Linked DNA regions of Callithrix jacchus. The protein of the gene in region 3 interacts with the protein of the main gene of each other region in a pairwise test. Links are inferred from orthologs where the notes say so. Each region holds a gene or a part of one and is shown on either strand. Other genes may lie near its edges.

Region 1 (3,614 bases), on a different chromosome or scaffold from region 3:
GGAAACACCCTCACAGACACACCAAGGATCAATACCTAGTATCCTTCAATCCAATCAAGTTGAATTTCAGTATTAACCATCACACTTCCCATTCACAAAAGACAGAATGGATCTGTGACCCTTTTGCGAATAATCCAGGTGAATCCACTTTGTCATGCTAGAAGAGGATCAACTGCTTGATATTGAAAATGACAGAGGCCTTAAAAGTATGTTTGAGACTTCAAATCTCTATACGTTCGATTTTTTTTTTTTCTTTTTGGTATCAGGATGACGCTGGCCTCATTCTATATGTTCTCATTTAAGTCAAGGAGGAATATCCTGAGATTGCCACAAAATTACTGAAAAGCCTGCTTCCATTTCCAACATTCTATCTTTGTGAGGCAGGGTTTTCTGCAGTAGCAGCAACCAAAACGAGATTACAGAATAGACTGGACATAAGCAACACACCTCGGGTGTCACTGTGTCTCATCACTCTCAGATGGGACTGTCCAGTTGCAGGAAAAGAAGCTCAGGGCTCGCACTGATTCTACATTATGGGGAGTTGTATAATTATTTCATTATATACTCCAATGTAATAATAATAGAAATAAAGAGAATAAACGAAATGTGCTTGAATCATGTTAGTATACATAGTCCTATAATTCATAGAGGTATACACAAAAGATTCAGCTTTTAAGTTGAAGATAGGTAAGACATGTTTTTAAAAAACACACAAAATAGTATTTTTTTCTATGAATACATAAAGATACATGTAAACGCAAATAAAAAGAATTTAAAGAATACACACCGCATTGATAATAGCGGAAAGATACCTTTCAGGAGAAAAGAAATGGAACCAAATATTTCTTCAGGCTAACTTAAAAAAAAAGTACAACGTTTCTGTTGTTTGTGAATACAACTATTGTAATGACAACACTAAAACGGCAGAATGAATTAGTTCTTAATATGCTGATCTGTGGTTATGGATGTTGTCTGATTTGGAGATGTAGATTTAGAAGTCATCAGCACATAGATAAACTGCCCAAAGGAGGAGGAAGAAAGGAGGGGAGAAGCATCAGGTGTTAAAAAAGCCACGTTAGGTTATTTAACAGTTTGCAGCATCACGAGCAGCAGGATGGTTAAGTAACACAGAAACTGTAATGCTTTTGCAAGCAGGATCCCTAGTTACGAAGCTCTAATAGGTGGAAACCCAGCTCAAAAGCGACGCTAACACCCGGGGAAAAACATTGACTGCCTCCAATCGCAGTGGAGCGCCAAGTAGGAGGCGGTACCTGACGACTACGCCTGCGCGAGTGGTTACGCAAGCTCACAGACTTTGCGCACGCGCACAGGCGCACGACCGCGCAGTTTCTATCTTGCTGAAAGCTTTTTCCGAGAGGTTGAGCGGTTTGCACAATGTCGGAAATGGCCGAGCTGTCTGAGCTGTATGAGGAGAACAGTGACCTGCAGATGGATGTGATGCCTGGCGAGGGTGACCTTCCGCAGATGGAGGTAGGCAGCGGGAGCCGGGAGCTATCCTTGCGTCCCTCCCGCAACCGGGCCCCGCCACAGCTAGAGGAGGAAGGCCCAATGGAGGAGGAGGCGGCCCAGCCAATGGCGGCGCCAGAGGGGAAGCGGAGCCTTGCTAACGGGCCCAACGCTGGGGAGCAGCCAGGCCAGGTGGCGGGCGCAGACTTCGAGAGCGAAGACGAGGGCGAGGAATTTGATGACTGGGAGGACGACTACGACTATCCGGAAGAGGAGCAGCTTAGTGGTGCCGGCTACCGAGTATCAGCAGCTCTCGAAGAAGCCAACAAGATGTTTCTGAGAACAACCAGAGCAAGAGAAGCAGCCCTGGATGGCGGGTTTCAGATGCATTATGAGAAGACCCCGTTTGATCAGTTAGCTTTCATCGAAGAGCTTTTTTCACTGATGGTTGTCAATCGTCTGACCGAAGAACTCGGCTGTGATGAGATTATTGATAGAGAGTAGTTACATGCTGTTAAAAGAGGAGGAAACTACTTGAGGAGGGACCCAACTTTCCGGTATCTTTTGGGTTCATTCCAAATAGTTCTGTGCCATTGAAAAACTTGACCTTCAAAAAAATGTGTTTTTCAGAATAGAAGACAATAGGATAGTGACTGTACAGTTGTGAAAAAAGAAGAGAATCATTAAAGAAAAAATGATGTTTAGACTGTTGAAGTCTGTTCTCAAGAATGTCCTAAAACACCAATGGCTTTGACTTTGTTATTGATCCAGATTATTTTCCTTGCATTGGGGAAAATATCTTTCATATTTGTTTTGCTGTAAAGATGGTTTTGCAAGAATAAGTCATGACCAAGACAAACCAAGACAAGAGCCCACTGATACTGATTATATGAGAAAAAAATGTATCCAACTAGGACACATATCTTTTGAGTTATTTGGACTGAAAGCTTAAGAAAACTTGGAAAATTCTATTTTGTGATCTGTTCAAGCCATAGTTATCAAAGGCTAAATTTTCAGTGTAAGATAAATGGAGTAGTCTTCATTATCCCAAAAGGATGAGCAAACTCAAATATATATCACGTGCTATATGTCTTAAGATGTGTTTCCAAAAGCATTTGAAATTTTGTTTGTACACGTATCTTGATCATTTATAAAGCCACTGTGATCTATAAATCAAGAAAATCCATTGTCAAGACCATTTTTAAAAGTCAAAAATTAAGACATCCTTAATTTAAAAGTTTCAAATCTAGACATTGTGTGTGAATGTACAAAGAAAAACCATTTCTAACGCTGTTATATACTAGAGAAATTTTGTTTTGCTTGCTGTTTTGACTTGACGGGTGAAAGACTTTAGTTGAACTTCATATTGTAAGAACTGTTAATAAAAGTTGTCAAGTAAAAAGCCCTATATCTAAAAAGACTTTATGAACAGTTATTCTATCAACTCTTAAAGGTTTTAAACCTGCCCAAAAATTACCTTGTAATCTGAAGTTTCCCTCCCTCTGTCTCCTCCTCTTAAGCTTGTTATTTGTTATGCACCAGCATTGGAGATAATAAAATTTCTTGTTCTGTGTATTTTGTTTGGTTGATCGTATTGCATACATACTTTCTCTGTATACTACTTTTTATTGTATGTATTATTGCAACCACTTGATTTAAACTTAATTAGTATTAAGGGAAAATGATCCAGCTTAAGATATCTAATTCACAAATTTGTTTCTGGAAATTAAATTTTGTAAATTAAGTTTTTACCTATAAGAATTTGCTGGTCTAGGAAAACCTGCCCTGTCAATGAGTATGTTGCTGTGGTTATCTTACTAAGATGCTGAAGTTTTAGGAGTGTAATTACATCAGAAGGCTATGCTCAGCAAAATGAGTTTATCAGCAGGTTTTATGATCAGTAAAAAGATTCCAGATGCTTCTGCTCCATTGTAGCAGTAAAGAACATATATCCAATGCAACAGGACCACTCAGAGCCTAATTTATTTTACGGTCATCTGTCTTTTGGGGAGAGGGATCTGTAAAAGATAGGAGTGTGACAAGGATGATCAAAATTGCTCAGACATTAGCTGAGTTGGGAGGGAGAGATGGTGGAAGTAAAATGTTGGTGCTTAAATTTCTTAATCCTACGATCTCTTCCACTGCTT
Region 2 (4,100 bases), on a different chromosome or scaffold from region 3:
CACTTCGCTCCTGGTGGGCCTTGTAGTCTGTTAGACCCTCTCTCCCAGGCTTCAATGCTAAAACTACATTTTCTATTTCTTTCCAGAGTACATACTATGTGTCAGGCACAATTACTCTACATGTCACTAGGAATACTAGATCATTAAGACACAGTCACCATTGCTAAGAAACCCACATTTAACTGGGTACACAAAAATTGTTTAATTCTTAACAACCATTTGATGGTAGATGTAAGTATTTGACTCCAAGTCCCATGCTCTTTTTACATTCCAACAATTGTCTCTTGGATCTTTTCATCACATAGAGCAGAGAGAAAAATAAGCAAAAATTAATAGCTGACTCTTTCTCAGCACCTACTGTGTGCCAGGCACAGTTTTTGTGGCCTACAGTTTTATCTTATTGAATCCTTAGCCATTTTGCAGAAGAGAAAACTCACTTACGTGTTTTCTTAGACTTGCCCAAGGTCCACAGCTGCTAAATTGCAGAGTCAAGTTTGGAACTCCAGAGCCTGTGTATAGTTAAATGTCTACACAGAGCCCAGGGATAGTGAGGGCTTCCCAGGGAGGGCCCAGGAGTATTCTGCTCACTATATCTCCTTGGCCTAGCACAGGTGAGGGGCACTCAGTATATTTTAATTAAATCAGTGAATAAATGAATGAATTTACAAACCTGCTGGAAATGAGAATGGAAACGTCTCCTGGAGAGAATACTTGGGAACTCTAGAGTTTGCCCATTATTCCTTCATTCCCTCTTAAACTCCTGCATAAAGGACACTGCCCTGTGCCCAAGACGGTGCTTATGAGACAGAGCCAAAGATACAAGAGACACAGTTTTGATCTTCATTATACCCAATTGAATGCTGTGTCCCAGGCACCCTATCATCTCACAGTATGTACCACAACTACCCTATGGGCTAATCCTACATCTCTATTTTACAGATTTACAATCTCAGAGTGGCAAAGTCTCCTTAGGCCAAGATGGCTCAGCGGATTCCACACCAGTCATCACAGGCTGAGCGTCGCAGTGCGAAGCAGGCGCAGCAGGGAGGCCCACTTCACGGGGAAACCACGCCCCAGCCATCATTTTGGTCCTTGCAAATCCACCCCTCCTTTCTAAGATCCCAGCCCGCCATTCTACAGGCAAATCTGCCGCAGCGTTCCATCCTGCCCTTGCAGCCAGCGCGACATCCGCTGTCGACAACGTCATTTCCGGCGCGCCGACTCCGGCGCATCCGGGGTCTGGCGTAGGAGAGACTGCCTTCTTCCGTGGACTGTGAAGTTGAGTTTGGTACGCTGGAGCCTCGGAGAGGTGAGTAGGGCTTGCCACGAGGGGACTCAGGGGCAGTGGGAGTAGGGCTCCGGCTCAGGGAAGGCGAGCCTCGGCCCAAGCCGATGTAGGGGTGGGGAGGGGATTCCATTTCGCAGACAGCTCTGTCGAGGCACGGAGAAGGGCGGTGCTGGTTGGGGTCAGTCAAGAACCTGAGCCTCCTTCGCCAAACCTAGACAGCAAGAGAGAGACAAGCCCGAGGCCTGGCTTCTAGCGCTCCTGAGTTTGAGCCCTATAAGCAGTGGAACCTAGGGTAAGTTACTAACTTCTCTGAACCTCCCTTTTCTTACCTGAAGCATGAAAATTAATGGTAACTGCCTTGTAAAAGTGTCTTGATGCACACAGTTGATAATAGGGCTCAAGCGACCATCATGTACCTAGCTTCTACTGATGAGGACTTCATAATTTGTGGCTACTCAGGGCTTATCACCACTCCCTGTGTCCACGGAGACATTGGTATTATTTAACCTTATATATCTGAGATTCCCCACCTCTTCTGAGACCCTTTCCTTTGTATACATTCCTGGAAGAGGTTGGGACCAGCTGCACCCAACCAGGGCACCAGTGACTAGAAGGCAAGGATAACGTTTTGCCAGAGTTGACCAGAGTTTGACACTGGCCTGTGGAAGTAGGGAATTCCTTATGCCTTAAGGCCGCTTTCAGGAAGACCAGAATCACAATTGCTGTCACCTATTGAATGTATTATTGTGTAGTGCACCAGGCTTGGCACTTCGTGTGCATTTAATACTCATACACTGAGTATCTGGTAGAGTTGAATTTGAAGTTAGGCTTTGATTTTAGCATGCCTGATTTTGCAATCACTTTAAGTTTACTCCCTAGTCCAATAATAGTAATGATTGTGATGTTTGATACTGTCAAGTTGATTGGATTGAAGGATATGAAGTATTGATCCTGGGGTGTGTCTGTGGGGGTGTAGCCAAAGGAGATTAACATTTGAGTCAGTAGTTTGGGAAAAGCAGACCCACGCTTAATCGTGCGGGCATAATCTAATCAGCTGCTAGCACAGCTAGAATATAAGCAGGCAGAAAAATGTAAAGAGGCCTAGCCTCCCAGCCTTCATCTTTCTCCGGTGCTGGATGGTTCCTGCCCTGGAACATCAGACTTCCAGTTCTTCAGTTTTGGAACTCCGGCTGGCTCTCCTTGCTCCTCAGCCAACAGACAGCCTTTTGTAGGACCTTGATGGTGTGAGTTTATCCTTAATACACTCCCATATATATATATTATATATATATGGGAGTTTATGGAGTTTATATATGGAATATATATATGGGAATTAAGAGGGACAGAACTAATGGAATATATATAACTATATATATGGAACAGAATATATAATATTCCATATACATATTCCTATATATATATACATATATATTCCATTAGTTCACTCCCTCTAGAGAACCCTGACTAATACAATGATTAACCTAATCATGGGACTACAGTAGAAGCTATGGTTTCTTGAGCACTTATTTTGAACTCATTGAATTCACCTTATAAGCATTCTCTAAGGTGGGTATAGTAGTTTATCCCAATTTAAGAAAGACAACTGAATCTCATCCCCCAGCTACCATGAGGTAGATTCTTTATTTCAATCCCTGGATATCTGACTATTAAAATAGTGTTCATAATTACTACAGTTTTTTAGCTCATCAGAAGAAATACATGTCTTGCAATGAAAACTAAAAATTATGTTTCATCAAGTAGTGTATTTTAAAAAGCATATTCTAAAAAAGTCACTCTCCTGGACCACCAAGGATCCAGATATAATTCTTACCTCAGTAATAGAAAAAGTAAAGGAATCTGGGATCTAAGAAGATATCCACTCATTTTCTAAAGCAATACTGTATAAAATAACCTACTTAGATATTTTTGTGTGGTTTATGTATGTGTGAATGTGTGTGATATTTGTGATATTGACTAGGACAAGGAAATACATACTTTTAAAGAAACATAGACTGTTGGGACTGGTATTTTTTTCCCGTTTTAGTACTGATTGTTTTCTAAAAATATGTTTTTAATATCTACTTTATTGAACAGTAATGCCAATTTTAATGGACTTTAAATTTGGAGAAAGTTCTGAAGGCAGCAAGGAATAGAGGAATCCTCCTGCTGCTGCCCCCAGGACTTATTATGGACTGTGCCCTTTTTATCTCTTCCTTTAGTGACTGGCCATGTCACTGTCCCACTTGTACCGGGATGGGGAAGACCGCATTGATGATGATGATGATGAACGGGAGAACTTTGAGATCACTGATTGGGATCTCCAGAATGAGTTCAACCCCAACCGACAGCGCCACTGGCAGACCAAGGAAGAAGCCACCTATGGGGTGTGGGCAGAGCGAGACTCAGATGAGGAGAGGCCCAGCTTTGGAGGCAAACGGTATTGCCTGGCATGGGGGCTGCTTCACCTTGCTTTAGGGAAGAGGAGAAAGATGGACAGGGAGTGGAGGGGATCCCCTGATAAGTATACTTCTCACCTGGCCTTATTGAGACTGTTAGTTGTGACATCACCTCAAGAGGTCCAGTTTCCTCTTTAGGCTAGAGTGCTGTTCTTTTACCAAATTATTTTATTTTATTTGTTTTTTTTTGAGATGCAGTTTTACTCTGTCACTCGAGCTGGAGTGCAGTGACGTGATCTTGGCTCGCTGCAACCTCTGCCTCCGGAGTTCAAGTGATTCTTGCACCTCAGCCTCTGGAGTAGCTGGGATTACAGGCACACGCCACCACCTCCAGCTAATTTTTGTATTATTAATAG
Region 3 (3,841 bases):
GGAGTGGGAAGCTAAAGAGACCAAAGAGTCCTGTTGGAGGGACTGGCGTGGGAATGGCCCTGTCAAAAGTGTCACATGCATGCCAACCCAACCAGAGAAAGCACAGAAAACCCTTCAACACCAACCTGCTTGAGGAAAATTAAAGTGACAAATGAGAAAAGATAGATACTCATAGTGAGGACTCTAGACATGTCAAGACAATTTTAAAACATGCTTTGGGCTTCAAGTGGCAATAACTAGACTCGAGACAACATATTTAAGAAGCTGCTGATGAGAGGGAACCCGGCAAGGGCTGAAGGACCACATCAACGCAGACCAAGGATGCTGAAGCAGCATGGAGGCCCCTGGTTGTGGAGGCTCCAGCAATGCCCCTTTTTCCACGGACAGCCTCTAGGAGTGACAGCTTTGCCTTGGCCCACTGGGAATCTGTTTTCTATAACTGGAAAACAGGGCTATCCATATGTTGCCCCCGCTACCTTTTGGTCATCTGAGACACCGCCAGATATTGCCCATGGGACCTATATCTTTTTGGAGATCTCAGGAAGGAATGATTTGGGTGTGACTCCCAACACTGAGGACTCAGTAGCTTCAGAGAAGGTCCTGGGAGAAGGTGAATCGGAGAATGAGGTGCTGGGCAGAGGGAAAAATGCATTATCATACAAGTTTGTGCTAATAGATATGGCAATCCTTCTGTTATGGACTAAGCATGGAAAAATAAAAGAAAATGGAATCAAAGTGACTCAAAGTAAGTGTAAAAGCCAAACCTATGCCCATGAAAGCATCAATGATGGTCTAAGCCCACTGCCTCCTGAACAAGTTCACGGCTCACGCGGGTAGGAAATCACGTTAACGACACGCTGCATTTCTCCTTTCCTTATAACCGCATTTCTCCTTTCCTTATAACCCCTCTGATGTGGTAGGGAGGGAGTCAATCAACTTTTTATTGGAATTTCTCAGGATTCCAACCTCGGACATCCGCCTCACAGTTTACACGTCTTCTCGGACAGCCCGACCGTTCCTCTCACTCGTTCACATAAAGCTCCAGTTTGCACAGCCTCCCAGACCTTCCTCTGGGGCTCTCATACTTAACTGGATTCTGGATATACCCAGGCGAGCATTTCCCAGGAAAGTCGACCCCAGCATCCCCAAAACCTGAGTTATCATCTTTCCCCAAAACCTGCTCCTTCTCCACAGGCATCCATCTCCCTCCTCTCCTACCCTGAACTTCCTCGGCCGGAACAGGAAACCCCGGGATCGCTGTCCCGCCAGGTGACGCCTCACCGCGGACCCTCCCCGTCGGGGCCCCTCGCGGCCCCGCCCGCCCCCGGCCGCCCGCCCGCCCTGGCCGCGGTCGCGCAGGCGCAGTGCCGCGTCCCGCCGCCGCCCCGCCCTGCCCGCCGCTGCGGAAGGCGCCGCGCGCAGCAACGCGCACTTCCTCTCCAGGAGTCCGCGGAGGGAGCGCAGGCTCGAAGAGCTCCTGGACGCAGAGGCCCTGCCCTTGCCAGACGGCGCAGACATGTCAGAGCAGAGTAAGGATCTGAGCGACCCTAGCTTTGCCGCCGAGGCACCCAGCTCCGAGGCGCAGAGCAGCCCTGGGGTTCCGGGGGGGGTTCCTCCGTCCGCGACCCTGGCGGAGCCGCAGAGCCCTCCCCTAGGCCCGACGGCCGCCCCGCAGGCCGCGCAGCCGCCCCAGGCCCCGATCGAGGAGGTCGACCCGAAGGCTTTGCTGGAGGCCGCAGAGGAGGGCCGCGCCCACCAGGCCCCGAGCGCGGCCCAGCCCGGCCCGGCGCCGCCCGCCCCGGCGCAGCTGGTGCAGAAGGCGCACGAGCTCATGTGGTACGTGCTGGTCAAGGACCAGAAGAAGATGATCATCTGGTTTCCAGACATGGTGAAAGATGTCATCGGCAGCTACAAGAAGTGGTGCAGGAGCATCCTGCGGCGCACCAGCCTCATCCTCGCCCGGGTGTTCGGGCTGCACCTGAGGCTGACCAGCCTGCACACCATGGAGTTTGCGCTGGTCAAAGCGCTGGAGCCGGAGGAGCTGGACAGGGTGGCGCTGAGCAACCGCATGCCCATGACGGGCCTCCTGCTCATGATCCTGAGCCTCATCTACGTGAAGGGCCGCGGCGCCAGAGAGAGCGCCGTCTGGAACGTGCTGCGCATCCTGGGGCTGCGGCCCTGGAAGAAGCACTCCACCTTCGGGGACGTGCGAAAGCTCATCACCGAGGAGTTCGTCCAACAGAATTACCTGAAGTACCAGCGCGTCCCGTACGTGGAGCCGCCAGAGTATGAGTTCTTCTGGGGCTCCCGGGCCAGCCGTGAAATCACCAAGATGCAAATCATGGAGTTCCTGGCCAGGGTCTTTAAGAAAGACCCCCAGGCCTGGCCCTCCCGATACAGAGAAGCCCTGGAGGAGGCCAGAGCTCTGCGGGAGGCTAATCCCGCTGCTCACTGCCCCCGCAACAGTGTCTCCGAGGACTAGCAAGGTCTGGAGGCAGATGAAATGCTTTCTGACCCTCACCGGGGCTGTGGAAGGGTGGGGGTGGGTCATTAGAGTGTTCGGGATTTACAGTGCAGTATTCACGTGTAACTTTTAAGTTTTCAGTACAGTGCTTTTATACCTTTAATGCAATGTTGTATTCATTTGGGTACTCTTGTGTAGTATTTAGGATGTATGCATGTTTGTTTATATGTAAGCTTGGTTGGTGCTTTCGCTTTTGTGCTACCTTTCTTGGATTTTTGTACCTGAGACATGCTAAACTGACGAAGTACCTTGAGAAAGTTTGCATCTTATTATTTTATATGGGACTGGTGATGTGTGTTGGGGTAGACTGCTCCTGCAGAGTTTGGAAGAACTCACCAGCAAAGCTGGCCTAACCAAGAGAAAAGTCAAGGCTCTTCGTGACCTTGCTGGGCACAGAAGACATTCTCGTGGAGTAAACTGATTTGAACTGGACTGGTCTCAATGTGAGCACTTGGCACAATTTACTAAACACATATACAACCCTACCGTGAGTCAACTTTAAAGTAAACATTAAAGATTCTTGTGATACAATCATTTTTGGAAAAGTGTACTCTTATCATTTTAACAGAGCACTATGATTGGGAATGAGACAATTCTCTATTTTACAATGTGTACAGATGTAACTGTTTCCCCTAATAGGGTGGGAAAAATCGCTACTCGTGATTACTCCTAAATTTGTGAAGGTTATAGTTTTATTGTCTTTAAATGTAATTGTTTATTTCAAAAACATGCACAAATATAAAGTATAAAAACAAAGCAGTATGATTGTCCATCATCACATCATATGAGAATAAAAACTAAAAATAACTTCCTTCCCTTAAGTTTCTATATTTTATCAAAATTAATGGATGTCTTGTGGGCACTTAAAGAGTGAGACATTGTACTCAGCCCTAACATGTATTTTTCCCCTTTTATTTAACCCTCACAACAGGCCTGTGAGGAAGGCATCTACTGCCTTTGCACCATGGAGGAAACAGGAATAATGTAGGTAATTAACTTTCCATAGCTTGTAAAGGTTAGCAAGAGAAGGAGCTGGCACTTCAACTCAGAATGAATCCAGAGCCCACATTTGTCCCCACCTGCCTACAATCCCTCATACACCCTGTGGCTTTTAGGTTATTTATTTTCAAACTTATTTTTACATTTTACGTGGGAGCCCACACTCCCAGCTCCCACCTCCCACACTCACATGCATTCATGGGCCACACAGAGAGAGAGGCTAGGAATTTTATTTTTCTAGTTCTCACAATATTTTGGAGAAAGCAAGATTATTCTGATTGTGTAAATTAAGAAATTTTCATCTTGTTTTTGGAATTT

The links.
Region 1: the proteins of NDN (region 3) and EID1 interact in binary tests that used the Homo sapiens proteins (3 or more experiments, as listed by UniProt). The link is inferred for Callithrix jacchus from reciprocal best matches to the Homo sapiens genes NDN and EID1.
Region 2: the proteins of NDN (region 3) and TFIP11 interact in a two-hybrid assay, tested with the Homo sapiens proteins (2 studies listed by BioGRID and IntAct). The link is inferred for Callithrix jacchus from reciprocal best matches to the Homo sapiens genes NDN and TFIP11.

What each region holds. Positions count from the first base shown.
Region 1 is NC_133509.1:36,624,967-36,628,580, forward strand, and holds EID1 (EP300-interacting inhibitor of differentiation 1), read left to right. Parts: upstream 1-1,310; 5' UTR 1,311-1,395; coding exon 1,396-1,971; 3' UTR 1,972-3,042; downstream 3,043-3,614. UniProt on the Homo sapiens protein: Interacts with RB1 and EP300 and acts as a repressor of MYOD1 transactivation. Inhibits EP300 and CBP histone acetyltransferase activity.
Region 2 is NC_133502.1:197,239,436-197,243,535, reverse strand, and holds the start of TFIP11 (tuftelin-interacting protein 11), read left to right. Parts: upstream 1-1,228; 5' UTR 1,229-1,309; intron 1,310-1,398; exon of another isoform or gene 1,399-1,425; 5' UTR 1,426-1,580; intron 1,581-3,507; 5' UTR 3,508-3,516; coding exon 3,517-3,725; intron 3,726-4,100. UniProt on the Homo sapiens protein: Involved in pre-mRNA splicing, specifically in spliceosome disassembly during late-stage splicing events. Intron turnover seems to proceed through reactions in two lariat-intron associated complexes termed Intron Large (IL) and Intron Small (IS).
Region 3 is NC_133507.1:5,529,726-5,533,566, forward strand, and holds NDN (necdin), read left to right. Parts: upstream 1-1,428; 5' UTR 1,429-1,516; coding exon 1,517-2,482; 3' UTR 2,483-3,328; downstream 3,329-3,841. UniProt on the Homo sapiens protein: Growth suppressor that facilitates the entry of the cell into cell cycle arrest.